Linked DNA regions of Drosophila melanogaster. The protein of the gene in region 2 interacts with the protein of the main gene of each other region in a pairwise test. Each region holds a gene or a part of one and is shown on either strand. Other genes may lie near its edges.

Evidence for each region. The genes of interacting proteins can lie anywhere in the genome.
Region 1: the proteins of CG5440 (region 2) and nompB interact in a two-hybrid assay, tested with the Drosophila melanogaster proteins (one large-scale study listed by BioGRID).

The regions. Positions count from the first base shown.
Region 1 is NT_033779.5:21,586,547-21,593,648, reverse strand, and holds the start of nompB (no mechanoreceptor potential B), read left to right. Parts: upstream 1-4,225; 5' UTR 4,226-4,293; coding exon 4,294-4,422; intron 4,423-4,475; coding exon 4,476-4,672; intron 4,673-6,230; coding exon 6,231-6,456; intron 6,457-6,507; coding exon of another isoform or gene 6,508-6,528; coding exon 6,529-7,102.
Region 2 is NT_033779.5:1,330,534-1,337,635, forward strand, and holds CG5440 (uncharacterized protein), read left to right. Parts: upstream 1-3,594; 5' UTR 3,595-3,735; coding exon 3,736-4,226; intron 4,227-4,285; coding exon 4,286-4,304; 3' UTR 4,305-4,981; downstream 4,982-7,102.

The DNA of each region.
Region 1 (7,102 bases), about 20 Mb from region 2:
TGCGATTCCCCGCATCGGTGATGCAGCCAGTTCCTGGACTTGGAGAAAGCTGCAACACTTGATAGCAGCTCTGCCTGACTCGTCTAGGATCATGGAGTATGGTCCCGACTTCATCGCAGTAAAAATACACATCTGCGTGCAACTGTAGAGCCCGCCACGTGCACGGAAAAGCTGAGCTTTCTCCGTTCTGCTGCTTAACAGGTGCAGATTGCGGGTCACCCCAAGTTGGTGTCTTTCCCAACTCCTTCGCAGATCTCCGTTCTCCCTTCTTGTCGGCGCACACATATGTACATAGTTTTATGTGGCGTTTCGGCAGCACGCATAGCATTTGTGTGCCGTCTCTGTCGCACACATCGGATAGGCGTGTTTCCTCACCTCATTCCAAAGATAAGCTGCTGGTTTTGACGCTACATACGCCGCACCTGAAGCAGCCATAACACGACTGATCGTGTCCAAGCTTGAGTATTTAAAATAGTTTTGGAGGTATGTGGTAAGTTTCTTAAGAATAGGTACTTATAAACTTATACGATCCTAATTTGGAATACTTTGTGGGAGATCTGAAATAAATATATTTTAGAATAGTATTCTAGTGTCTTTGGTCGAACATAGTGTAGGAAAGTCCCGCAAGCGTACCAGGGGTTGCGTTTCTTTCTCGGTTTAAAGCATTCCTTCGCACAGTGCCCTTGTAATTACGCAGCGGACATCTTTCTGTTGCTTTCATAAAAGATTGAGTTGATTTTTTGTAAACTTGCGTTTTCTTGCGTTCCCCTCGCTACGAATTGCAACGGCTAGCTCCGAGTTTTTTTCCCACCAAATTTGTTTGTGTTTTATTTGTTTTATTGCCTGACCAAAGAGAAGATAGGGTATCAAATTAGTAAGCTTTATTGCTTTATTGCTCCTTCGTCCTCAAACCAGAGCTCTTCCAAGAACACCGTTGCGACTCCCGGAAGCGCACGTCTGTTGGGACCGCTCCAACCACTGCCCCGTCAATGCTGCCCAAAACTGTAAAGAAAGTCGAATGAGATTTACCGAAAAACGGATTATTTAATTTAAATAATACATTGTTATTCAACGCTATGGTGAGGCTGCAATACTTCTCTCCACCGTGGAAGCTCGGTATTATCTCCATGATTCATAAACCTGGAAAGCCTGAAAAGAATCCTGGGTCCTACCGGCCAATCAGTCTCCTCTTTTCGATCTCGAAGGTGTTTGAGAGACTGATTGCTGCCCGGTTGGACAGGATTATGGAAGCGAAGGGTATCCAGCCCGATCATCAGTTTGGTTTACGTGCTGGACACTGTACGGTAGAACAACTACACCGAGTAAATCCTATCGGCTTTCGAAAACAAGGAGTGGAGTACTGCATTGCACTCTTCCTGGATGTACGTGAAGCGTTCGATCAGGTGTGGCACTCCGGTCTCCTGCTCAAAATTAAGAATACGCTCCGTGCACCATACTTCGGCCTCCTGAGGTCGTATCTTAAAAAGAGAAGATTTGCGGTACGATTGCACTCGTATCTGTCAGCCGGAGTACCACAAGGAAGTGTACTTGGTCCGCTGCTTTACTACCTGTAAAGCTACGACATGCCACGGGCAGACGTTAGCCTACCCGGGACGTCAATGTTGGCCACATTTGCTGACGACATGTGTGGCACCTAAAGGTCCTGCTGCAAACACGATGCTTCTGACGACATTCAGGACTGCGCATCAACATTTGCGGACGTTGGAACATTGGCATCAATGGTGACAAATCAGCGAATGTATGCTAAACACTGAAAAGGGGAACACCACCGGCTGTGCTCATCGATGGCACCCCTGCCCCCAGTCCAATTCAGCCAAATATCTTGGTGTAATCTTGGATCGGAAACTAACCTTATCGAAGCAAGTGAGTGTTAGCGCACATGTTAGCGTTATGGCGCCAATTATGGCTTGCGACAGTCAAATTCGTCGCATTCAGGCTGCCCAAAACGAAATCGCCAGGATGATTACCGGCTGCGAATGGTACGTAAGGAACACAACCCTGCGCAAAGACCTCAAGCTAGCCACTGTCTTCGAGGCAATAAACATACACTCCAGCCGGTACCACGACAGGCACTGTCCAAAGCTCGCCCACCAAGAAGGCTCCACAGGAGACAGCCGAAGGACCTCATCATACGGTTCCCCTTGACGAGAGCCAGGACATGATGATGATCTCGAATTGATATATTGTTAATTGTTATATTTGTTTTATTGTTTTGTTACAGCTAACTTTTGTTAGCCGGCGCTCCTGAAAGGGCTGAATTAATAACGACCAAGGTGACAAAGGGGTTAATAAAGTCTATAAAAAAAAATTAAATAATTTTATTCTTTATTTACTGTCTACAGGCCGGAAGCGTTTTCTCTTGTACTTCAATAAATAGGAGTTTTTATACCCGTTTATCGTAGAGTAACTACTAGATTCGTTGAAAAGTATGTAACAGGAAGAATGAAGCGTTTCCGACATTATAATGTACATGTATCTGTATTCTTGATCAGGATCAATAGCCGAGTAATGTCCGTCTGTCTGTCTGTCCGTATGAGCGTGGAGATCTCAGGATTAAGCATGAATTTTCTAGAGACAAACCCGCAGCGCTAGTTTGCTTCCAAATATTGAAATTTTGAAAATTGAAATTAACAATATTTGATGTAGTTGTGATTGTGATACGTCAGCAATGTGTAGGTGTCTTGCTCTTAATGTTTGGGTCAAATCCCGAATGATACCCCTGAGTGTACTAAAGAAATTTATATTTATTTTATTGGAAAAATTTTAAACATAAAGTGGGCTTTAAAACTGTCTTTTTATTCTGTCTTTTTTCATTCTTCTCTCTGTAAACTCTACAAAAAAAAAAACAAGGGAGAATGCTATATTCGAGCATATATGTATGTATATAAAGTCTTAAGCATTTCCAAGCTTATCAGGAACAAGCAATGATCTACTCCTGCCTTTTAGTCGATTATTATGTAGCGAGTTAACCAAAGTCTGAATACTAGCCAACTTATATTACGTTTTACATAATACAAACTATAGACCACAAATAATGTATAAAAATCTAGAGGAAAAAATTGTGAAGCTCTTGGAGTCATCTATAGTTTTGGCCTGGCAACGCTCACCCAATAAATTATTGAACCTGGATACAAAATTGGCCGAGGCATTGAGTAAAGCCAAAGAAGCATTCTCATTGGATAGAACATTACACCAATTTCGAGACCAGCACGGTGAAAATGTTTATCACAACTTCGATTTGACATATGCGGTAAGCACGACTAGAAGGATAATTTAAAACTTTAATATATATGGACTATAGGTTTTTTTTAATCTCGCGGAGCAATACGAACGGAGTGAGATGCACATCGAAGCCCTCAATACCTACAGCATTATGGCCAAAAACAAGATGTTTCCACACGTCAATCAGCTAAAACTAAATATGGGTAACATCTACTACAGCATGGGTATTTACCAAAAGGCGGTTAAAATGTACCGCATGGCCCTTGATTCTGTACCAAAGAGCTTAAGTCAGTTAAGGCTAAAGATCCGTGAAAACATTGGAATCCTTTTTATTCGCATGGGCTCTTATTCAGATGCTGCTTCTAGCTTTGAGTTCATCATGACGGAGCGGGCAAACATTAGAAGTAGCATTCACCTCTTACTCTGCTACTTCGCCTTGGGCGATGTGGAGAAAGTAAAGTTAGCCTTTCGGAGACTTTGTGATGTCCAAACCGAAGCAATAGAATCGGATATGGAGAGTGAGACGAATATCATTAAACTTCAACAGCAGGCTGAGCCGATTCAACAATGTGGCGAAATCGACGTGCACCAGACAACGAACAAGACACGAGCTCGGTTATAAGCGCAGAAGGTGGAGGTAAACCATACGGTATGGTCCATACCCGTTTCTCGTAGAGTAAAAGGGTATACTAGATTCGTTGAAAAGTATGTAACAGACAGAAGGAAGCGTTTCCGACTGATAATAATATTTTAACAATTGAAATTGGGTTTTATGTTTTATATTAAATCAGATAACAATTAACTAAACTTATTCAAACTTTTATAGAAATGTCTTAGTATAAAATGATAAAATAAACCAAAATGATTTGGTTTAATAAATACCGCAACCTTCTTACATTATACATTTAATTGGTATTTATTCACCTCTTTTACGCATGTGCTGCTTATACGTGATCACCAAGGCAACTCAACCAAAACAAAGACCAACCCCCAAAACCGTTCATATTGATTGAGAACCTTATTATACGCGTGTAGTGCGGTGAGACAAAAATGACTTCTCAAATAACTGCTAACGGAACGCAAAGATTACCGGAGCCTGTTTCCGAACATGAAGCGGTTCCGCCTCCCCCACCCACGGCGGCGGGCAGACCCAGACCCCCCACTTCACAGCTTTTTTCAGTGAGTTTTGAAAAAAAAAAAATTTAAAACGCTGTGTAATTTCTGTAATTCAGCGCGGCAATCTGGCCAGCAGTCGGGCAACAGGAGGCGATAAATCAGGTCTTGCAAGACCATCAACAGCAGTCCGGGCTGTGGGCTACGCTGCTAATTGCGAGTCTGCTCATCAAAGGTTCGAACAATTTTTCCTGGAGAAGGCGAAGCAACAAACGCTCTCGTCAAGAGCCGCTGTGGATGCCATAAAGGATGTAAAGTAAGTAAGAAAATTATTTTTAGAGGACGGTTGCATCAAAGGGGTTATCAAAAATCGTAAAAAAAAAATAAATAGAAAGGTACTGAAGTTAAAGGTATACTGAATCTATATTCATGTATTTATTCACTTGCACCTTATAAACTTACAAGCATACAGAGGTGGTCAAAAGTATTTACACAACGTGCTTTTTTTCTGTTGTCAATTGTCAAGAAGTGGAAAAAATAACTGTTCATGGGCTAAAAATAGAAGCATTAAACTTGTCTGTTGTCAGAAGTATTTACACACAATTTTTAAGCTTCAAAATTATTTGCACAGTGCAAATTGAAGATTAGTCTAGTAAAGTTCTAGTTGATGTTGATCGCTTAATTGGAACTTAAACTAACTGTTAACAGTTATGTTAATAGATAAAACTAAGCATTAAATTTGTAAAATGGCAAAAACAAAGGAGCTATCAGTTGAGCATCGAGCCGAGATTGTCACTAAAATTAAGGCTGGTACTTCTGCATCCAAATTAGCTGAGTTATACAAAATATCACGTAAAACTGTGTACAATTAGGTAAAAAAAAAGGACATTGGATTGGGAATTTTGGAAAATAAAAAGAGAACTAACCGAAAAGTTGCATTGAACCCAAGAGACTGCAGACACATTATAGGAGTTGTACTATATAATCCCACCATAAGTCCCGTTAAAATTGCCGCAGCATCGAAAAATTTAGTTAGAGAACATATTAGCGATAGTACACTGCGTCGCAGAATGAAGGAAGTTGACATCAACTCCTATGTTATTCGTGCAGTATTTAATATTACCCCAAGAAACAAGGAAAATCGTCTGGCATTTGCCTTGGAGTAAAAAGAGAAGCCTCTCGAATTCTGGTTTGATATTTTATGGACTGATGAAGTTGCGTTTCAGTTTCAGGGATCCTTTAGCAAGCAATTTATGCATTTCCCAATACAACTAAAGGGTAATGCCGTTCAGCCAATCAATCGGTTTGGTGGTGTCACGGTGATGTTCTGGGGCTGTTTAAGCTACTATGGGTTTGGAGACATGGTACCGATAGAGGGTACAGTAAATCAAACAGGATACCTCCATATCTTAAATGAGCACGCATTGACCTCAGGAAATAGACTGTTCTCCAAGAATGACTGGATCTTGCAGCAGGGCAATGCTCCATGCCACAAGGGCCGAGTACCAACCAAGTTCTTGAAAGACATAAATCAGGCGGTACTTCCATTGCTCATATTCCATATAAAATATTTCGTTTAAATTCAATAAAAAAGGCAAAAATGAATTAAAAAAGCTGTGTGTAAATAATTATGAATTTTTTAACATAACATAATTTTTAAACATAGTGGAATTTAAAAATGTTATTTTAATTCTGTCTTTTTTCATTCTTCTCTCTGTAAATTTTACAAAACAACAAGGAAAAGTCTTAAGCATTTCCAAGCTTATCAGGAACTAGCAATGATCTGATCCTTTTAGTCGATTATTATGTAGCGAGTTAACCAAAGTCTGAATACTAACCAACTTATATTACGTTTTACATAATTCAAATTATAGCCCACAAATGAAGTATAAAAATCTAGAGGAAAAAATTGTGAAGCTCTTGGAGTCATCTATAGTTTTGGCCTGGCAAGGCTCACCCAATAAATTATTGAACCTGGATACAAAATTGGCCGAGGCATTGAGTAAAGCCAAAGAAGCATTCTCATTGGATAGAACATTACACCAATTTCGAGACCAGCACGGTGAAAATGTTTATCACAACTTCGATTTGACATATGCGGTAAGCACGACTAGAAGGATAATTTAAAACTTTAATATATATGGACTATAGGTTTTTTTTAATCTCGCGGAGCAATACGAACGGAGTGAGATGCACATCGAAGCCCTCAATACCTACAGCATTATGGCCAAAAACAAGATGTTTCCACACGTCAATCAGCTAAAACTAAATATGGGTAACATCTACTACAGCATGGGTATTTACCAAAAGGCGGTTAAAATGTACCGCATGGCCCTTGATTCTGTACCAAAGAGCTTAAGTCAGTTAAGGCTAAAGATCCGTGAAAACATTGGAATCCTTTTTATTCGCATGGGCTCTTATTCAGATGCTGCTTCTAGCTTTGAGTTCATCATGACGGAGCGGGCAAACATTAGAAGTAGCATTCACCTCTTACTCTGCTACTTCGCCTTGGGCGATGTGGAGAAAGTAAAGTTGGCCTTTCGGAGACTTTGTGATGTCCAAACCGAAGCAATAGAATCGGATATGGAGAGTGAGACGAATATCATTAAACTTCAACAGCAGGCTGAGCCGATTCAACAAATTGGCGAAACCGACGGGTACCAGTCTTTAAACAACGAACCAGTCACGGGCTCGGTTATTAAGGCAGAAGGTGGCGGTAAACTGAACGAGACCGTAAAGTTTGCAG
Region 2 (7,102 bases):
GAAAAACCCGGTGTCGGGCCAATTTCCCCAGTTTCAGTCGGATAGATGACAGTGTCAAGATAGGAATTGTTGCAGCTTTGCCTTTGCACCCCTCCAGCCAAAAACTCGTGCCCTCCTTCGCTTTTTTCTTTCCTTCAATGAATTTCCTTTTTCCTTTCCGGCTTTCCTTTTGTTGGTATTTCTGTTTATCAGTTTGTGTATAAATTTGCCTTTATTCTGACATATTTAGTGGCGGTTCCAAGACAATTGTCTCGCCGATAAAAAGCTCAGAGATCTAGCTCCGATTTGCTTGTTACTCCATTAAAACGGCATATAAAAAGGCAAAAAAGACCACAACATCAGCCGAATAATTGGATTTAGTTGGAAATGGTAGTGAATCGTTGTCATATAAATAAACGTAAACAAAAGCAACTAACTTCGTGATATCTTATTAATCAAGTAACAGCATAAATCTTAAGTCACCTGTGAACTTTACTCTTTAATAGTTTTGTTATTTTCTATAAAAAATGTTATATACTTATACATACACACTCTTGTTGACACACTTATTTCTGGAAAATCCACCGTCATCGCTGATGATAAACCTATGATAAATCGCCCATTCCCAAGCCTCATCTTTCCGAGCTTAGCTCTAATTTCACGCTCGCCCGATCTCACTATTATATGGGAAACTGTTCTTCCTCCAAGTTGCCAACGGGCGTATGAGTAATCTAGCCCGAATCCCATGGCCTCCTCTTGCGGCTCCTCATCATCGTGAATTTTTTGCGAAAAAACTTTCCTTCTTATTATTTATCCCATGTGACAAATTTGGTGCACAAGATTTTGCTCCGCATAATAAATTATGCGTTGCAGTTGGGAAGGCGAAAAAAAGGAACTGAAATTAAATTATAGGGAAAGAAAATGCGAGAGAGTTGAAAGTTTTCCATCGTTCGTCGGGATTGGAAAGTTTTCCGTGCACGTTTTAATTTAATAATCGCTGTCTGGAGTCGTTAAGTTGGGGCAAAGTTTTCTGGCCAGTTTACCGGATTTGACATTACACTTAATCGCTTAAAAACGCTTTTAATTGGAGCGTTGTTTGCGTGAATAAATCATGTAATAAATAAACAAGCCGGCACACTTGTTGGCCATGCATTATTTATGGCCCGAATCAATAACTGTGACACTTTGGCCACCATTTCCCATGCATGCCAATGACTGATGCAGATGAGCAGGACCAGGATGTGCAGGATGCGGGCTGTCCAGGACGCGGGGGATTGCTTCTGCCAAATGTCCGAGCCCTGCAACCGGCAGCCTGGCTCCTGTCACACAGTTAAAATGTGATAAATTCCATTAAGTGACAGGGAAACGCACACGAAATGCAAACGTAAACTGTATCTGAGCTTAGAGATGGCCAAATCAGTCGGCATTAGGCCGTAAATTACGACGTTTCAGTCTGGAGTTTAATAGCTTGCTTATTCTTTCGCTTAGTGAATTAATATAGGTTTAGTAATAATGGTAATAAATCAGAAATACTCATACTGTTAAGCAGGCTATTTACATCATCTACAACATAGTATAAATATATATTAATTTCTAATTGTTAATTTAATTTTTATAAATTAAAAAAAAACTTGTGACTCGCATCTCTATGCTTTTGGCCCCACATAGAAATGTTTTGAATGGACAGGCAAGAAATCCATTTTGTGTGGCGCCAAATCAAAATGTAGCAGCCAGAAACAGACACACACACTCTAGCACGCTTACCCACACACAATCGCAAGCATCAAGTTGAAAGTTGCATGTTGCACATTGAAAGCCAAAACTGACACCAGCAGACATTTAGTACGCATCGCATATTGAAATTGTAATTTGATTTCTGCCTTTTGCCACCGACTGTCCAACTTTCCATCTGGCTGTCTCCCTCTGTCGTACATCTCCCTCTCTCTCTATCTCTCCCTCTGTCTATCCCTTTCTAAATTTGTATTTCCCCGATTGAGTGGTATTTCTATAGCAGTTTGCATGCCCCAGAGGTCCTTGCCCCGAGTCCTGACAGTTGCGTATTTTGCAACCGAATAAACCCCATTGGAGCTCAAGGACTAAAAACTGGGTCGAGCCAAAAACGAAGGGGGTGAGCTATTTAAAAGGTACTGAAATTTATTTAGACTACAAATTATGCAAGTAGTTTGTGAAATTAAAAAAAAAATTGCTTAATAAAAGGAACTCCTTTAAATGATGACTACGAAGTGCGCTTAAAACTGTACGATCCAGTAAATAATTTCAGTTAAATGTTCTGTCTGAGTTGAAATGATTAAAAAGGACATCATTTGCCAGCTCTTAAGCACGGGTTGTATTGAAACAATGCCTGTGAAAAGGGACTTATCTGGCTACGGCACACCTGAGGAGGTTTCTGCACCTGACTCACCCCATCGGGGGATCAGAGAGCTCCACCACCCGCTGCACTTGTGTGCTGACAAAGCCTCTTGGGGCACTTAAATCATTATTTAATTTGAATTTAAAATGCAGCAAGGAATTCTCCACGGCTGTCGCTGTTTGTCGTCTGAAACAAAGCGCGGACAAATAAATAAAATAAAATGGCAAGCTCATTACAGGCCGACTGCTGGACTGCGATGGCCATAATGATGATGATGATGATGATGATGATGACGATGATGTGGCAACAAGTCGGAGTCGGGCATCACTTCCAACAATGCCCCGTGTACACGCACTCATGAACAGTGGGGGCGAAAAAAAGTGGCCAACAAAGGCACAATGGAGCAGAGTCCACGCCCACCGCCCACCGCTGGGGTGTCCCACTTGGCCGGCTGCATTGTTGGTTTTTATTTACGGGGACGGGTGGAGGAAGAGCGGAGTGCAGGAAAAGCGCGGAACAGGAAAGCGGGGAGGGGAAACAGCGCCTGCGGCATCTGGGGCATTGATGCCAGGTGACAGACGGCAAAATGGTGGCGCGTCCTTCTGTGATGCAATGTGTGTACAATTTTCAGCCTGCATATGCCGCCCGTTTTACAGCTAATTGATGGCTATTTACATTTTAAATCGCAAGAAACTTTAAAACCAAGTTGGCCACAAATGCAACTTGGTTGTAATTTTAGTTGCGGCGGATGAATAGTTAACATAGTTAAAACCTTTATAATAGCTTGTGTATTCGGGGTAATACCCCTTTTGTAAAATATTTGAATCATTCATTTTATGCAAAATTAAAACACTAATTATTTCCATAAAGTTGACACTTCTTAAGAGCTGTAAAGAGCTGTGTCGTTTCTCATACTATTTTTTAAAGCGTTCCACTTTTTTAACACTGATTGAATAAAAAACTACAAACTAGATTCCCTAACAAGTTGAGTCTTGAAGATTGCGAGCTCGTGAATACGAAATGTGGTTTCGTCATATTCGATTTTCGACACTTGAAATATGTCAATCCTTGGTCGTTTCAGTGGCTGAAAGAGACAAGTGGAGTAGGATACAGCAAATATTTTGCCTCTAGTCAACCTGGTTCAATATTCAGGAAGTGCAAAAAAGCTTCTGATTTTATTACAGGGTACTTGAAAGTACCACGGGTACATTGGTACAGAAAATTTTCATACTTTTTAGACAACAGAAACACTCATCAAATGTTCAAGGAGTAACATGTCAATTTAGCACAGTTGTCAAATAAATCGGTCGAGTTATCCACATATACAATAATACGGCACGATAAAGAAAAGGGTTTTATTTTTAAGAACTTAAGCCAATTAAAATATGGAAGGGCTATTTTCTGCCGAGGATGGCACACCTTCGTGCAGCTGGACATGCAGCAACAGCGCGGTTAAGAGAATCCAGAAGGAGCTGGACGAGATTACGAGGGATCCGCCGCAATACTGCAGTGCTGGTCCGAAGGAGGACAACCTGTACGAGTGGACCTCGACGATCATCGGACCCGCGGACTCCGTCTACGAGAACGGAATATTCAAGCTGGACATATTCTTTCCGGTTGAGTATCCTTTTGCTCCACCGGTAGTTATATTTCGCACGCCCATATATCACTGCAACATCCACCGCCTGGGCTTCATTTGTCTGGATATCCTGAAGGAGAAATGGTCACCGGCACTGACCATCTCGAAGATTCTGCTATCAATTTGCTCCCTACTCACCGACTGCAATCCCAAGGATCCGCTGATGGCCAAAATTGGCACGGAATATCTGAAGAATAGAGCAGAACATGACAAGAAAGCGCGCCTCTGGACCAAACGGTAGTAATTTGGAACTTGTTTTCTTAAAACTATGTAATAATCCTTATCAATTTATTTAGTTATGCCAAAGACGAATAGATGGCAGCTTCGCTTCGAATCGATGACTGACGTCAGACGTCTTTGTTGTTCACTACTGTGCTATATGAAATATACATATGCTGCTCCATAATATTGAAGGGAAATCTATTAATCACTCGGTACCTCTTTGTCTTTTCATTGACAACTTTGAAAATTGCTCATGCCGCAATTGGGGAACGTTGCCACGACCAGACACCTACGCCCATTGTGGTAATACTTTCGAGTGGCCGACCGATGGCGTTGCCAACAAACTTCCGCCAGGCGAAAACGAAAATTCGTTGGGGATTGAAAATGTTTTTTTGACATCTACTTCGTGCTTTTCATGCGAAAATATATACTTTGCGAAACAAAGGCAGCAAGCAAAGAGGCAAGGTGGCAAAGTAGGTGAGCTCCACTCTGTTGCTTATCGATTTGAAGTTGGGGCCAAGGAAACACGAAATTAGCACAGGCCACGTCGCTGCCAGGAACTGTCAAGTGTTGCATACTTTTTCGGGCAATTTGATGGCCAAGCGGGGGCGACTCGTCGGAAAAACAACACCGAAGTGGGGCACATTTGCATGAAACCGGAGTTGGAGGAGGACAAACATTAGCAGAAGTCAGCTGGAGTTCGCAGCTAAATCGAAAAGCATATTCTTTCGATGGGTAACCCTTTTTGGCAACCAACCCCTCGGCGGACCAAAAACCGGGTAGGAAGTCAAATATGCTGCCAAAGTTATTGATGGCATCCGCAGCAGAACAAATTTGCTTAAATCTGTTTAATGTTTTCCCATTTTTTGTGCCGTCCTTAACTGGATTCATCCCCAGCTACCGCTTTGATTTTCTCTTATTTTTTAATATTTATAAATATGCTTGCTCTTCAAACAATTTGTTAAAATGTTGGTACTTCTTTCAGCTGTGTTTCTGATTGGCCGCATAGATCATTGTGACGAGGGTGCTTGGCTGAAATAGGTCAGGCTATTGGCTAGAACACAAGCTATTTGAAAACGGGTCTAAAGATATATATTTTTTGAGTCATTACCACAGTTTGTATCCTAAGTCACAAGCCTTATGAATCCTCATTAAAATTTCGTAAGGATTCTTTACTCATCACTTTCAAATTCCCTTTCATTAAGCATTCCCAAAACCAGAAATGCCACGTTGCAAATAGTAAATACCCACTACATACGTATATTAGGGAAAAGTATATATTTGAAATTTTAAGCTATTGCCTTACCCGGGCACCATCGGAACTAAGCTACCCTGGCTACCCTTTAAGCGGCGGCTGCAAAAACGAGCGAAAATCCCCAACACACATTTGCAGCGTAATCAACAAAAGCACTAATTGCATAGAAGACACGCGCTGACATTGATGTCTGATGCGCCCGAGTGCGAAAGAGAGCTGTGGCCGTATAGAGCTTCATCTCTGTCTGCCTGCCTGCAATTTCATTTCGTTTGCGCTTCATGTGCAGCGGTATTAACGTTACAGTTGCCATTTACCTCTGCCAACGAGGGCGCTGATGACGCTAAGCTGTCTGCATGCGTAGACACGGCCACCCCCAGTTTCCACCCATTTTCCAACCATTTCCCGCCCGTTTTCCACCCGGCTTGCCCCACTCCTCCCGGCCGTCACACAACTTCATTAACGCAGAGTAAACACACGCATGCAGTTTTCGAGCTGAAGCCGGGAGCAAAGTGTTTGATGTTGTTGCCTCTCCTCGGGCAGTTTAAAGTTACATTTTAGGATCTGCTAGCTGCGTGTGGAAAGGGTGACGGCTGGTGCGGTGGGTGTGGCAGCCAGACATTCCCGAATGCTCGGCGTATTTGCTCAGGTGAGTACTTTTGGTTTGGGAGCGATAGGAAGGACGCAGGACGAAAGCTTTAAGCCCAACAAAGTCGAAAATTAAATTGGGCGAAAGGGTTGGTGCTTAATACATGCCAGGTTTCATAAATTAACATTTGCTTGTGGAATTGCAGTCTTTATTAAATTATGTGCTCTCGCTACAAATGCACAAATCAATTGAATTCTTTACGATACTATTTTGCAGTCAAGTGTAATCGACGACAATTTCCCGCAGCATCCTTTTAAATGTATGCAAATTAACACGATCTGAATAATTAAGTATAATTTGATGCCGAGACAGACTTTCCACGCATTTCCCCCCCCCCGCCCCACAATTTCACCTTATTTAGAACGGGCCCGAAGTCCATTAACAAAGCATAACGATGTGTCATGTGGCAAACACACATACCATAACCGCAAGTATCGCACTTGGTTTTCCGGCTTTCTCCGCCTGCTTTCTCCGTGCCTCTTTGTTGTTATTCATATTTACGAGGCTGCGCGTGTGTGTGAGTGTGTGTGAGTGCCTCCTTAGCAAGCCTAACGAACTGCCAAATTACGCTGAAATAGCATTAAAAATTTACATTTTTCCCAGCCTGCTGTTCTGCTGTTCACTTATTTTCCGTTTTGTGGACCGTCAAAAGCGAAAACGCCAACAAGTCCTTAATGACATTAAAAAGAAAGCGAATTTCCACGGGTGTCTGTGGGTGCGTGTAAGAAAAATTATTATTATTTCGCTGGCCGGGGGAAATTTAATCTGTCTTAAGATCTATTGAGAAGCAACTGAGCGTATGAATGAAGGCAAGCTGATTTTCCTGTTTATTTCCATTTCCAATTCCAGTAAGTACCTCTAGTAACTCACAGAATGCTCATATATGTGAGTGATTCAATTCCACTTGGCAATCCTGTTTGGACACCACGGACGACCTACAGATGTAGCCAAGAAATGCTAAAAATGCCACAGAATACTAAAGAACAGCAC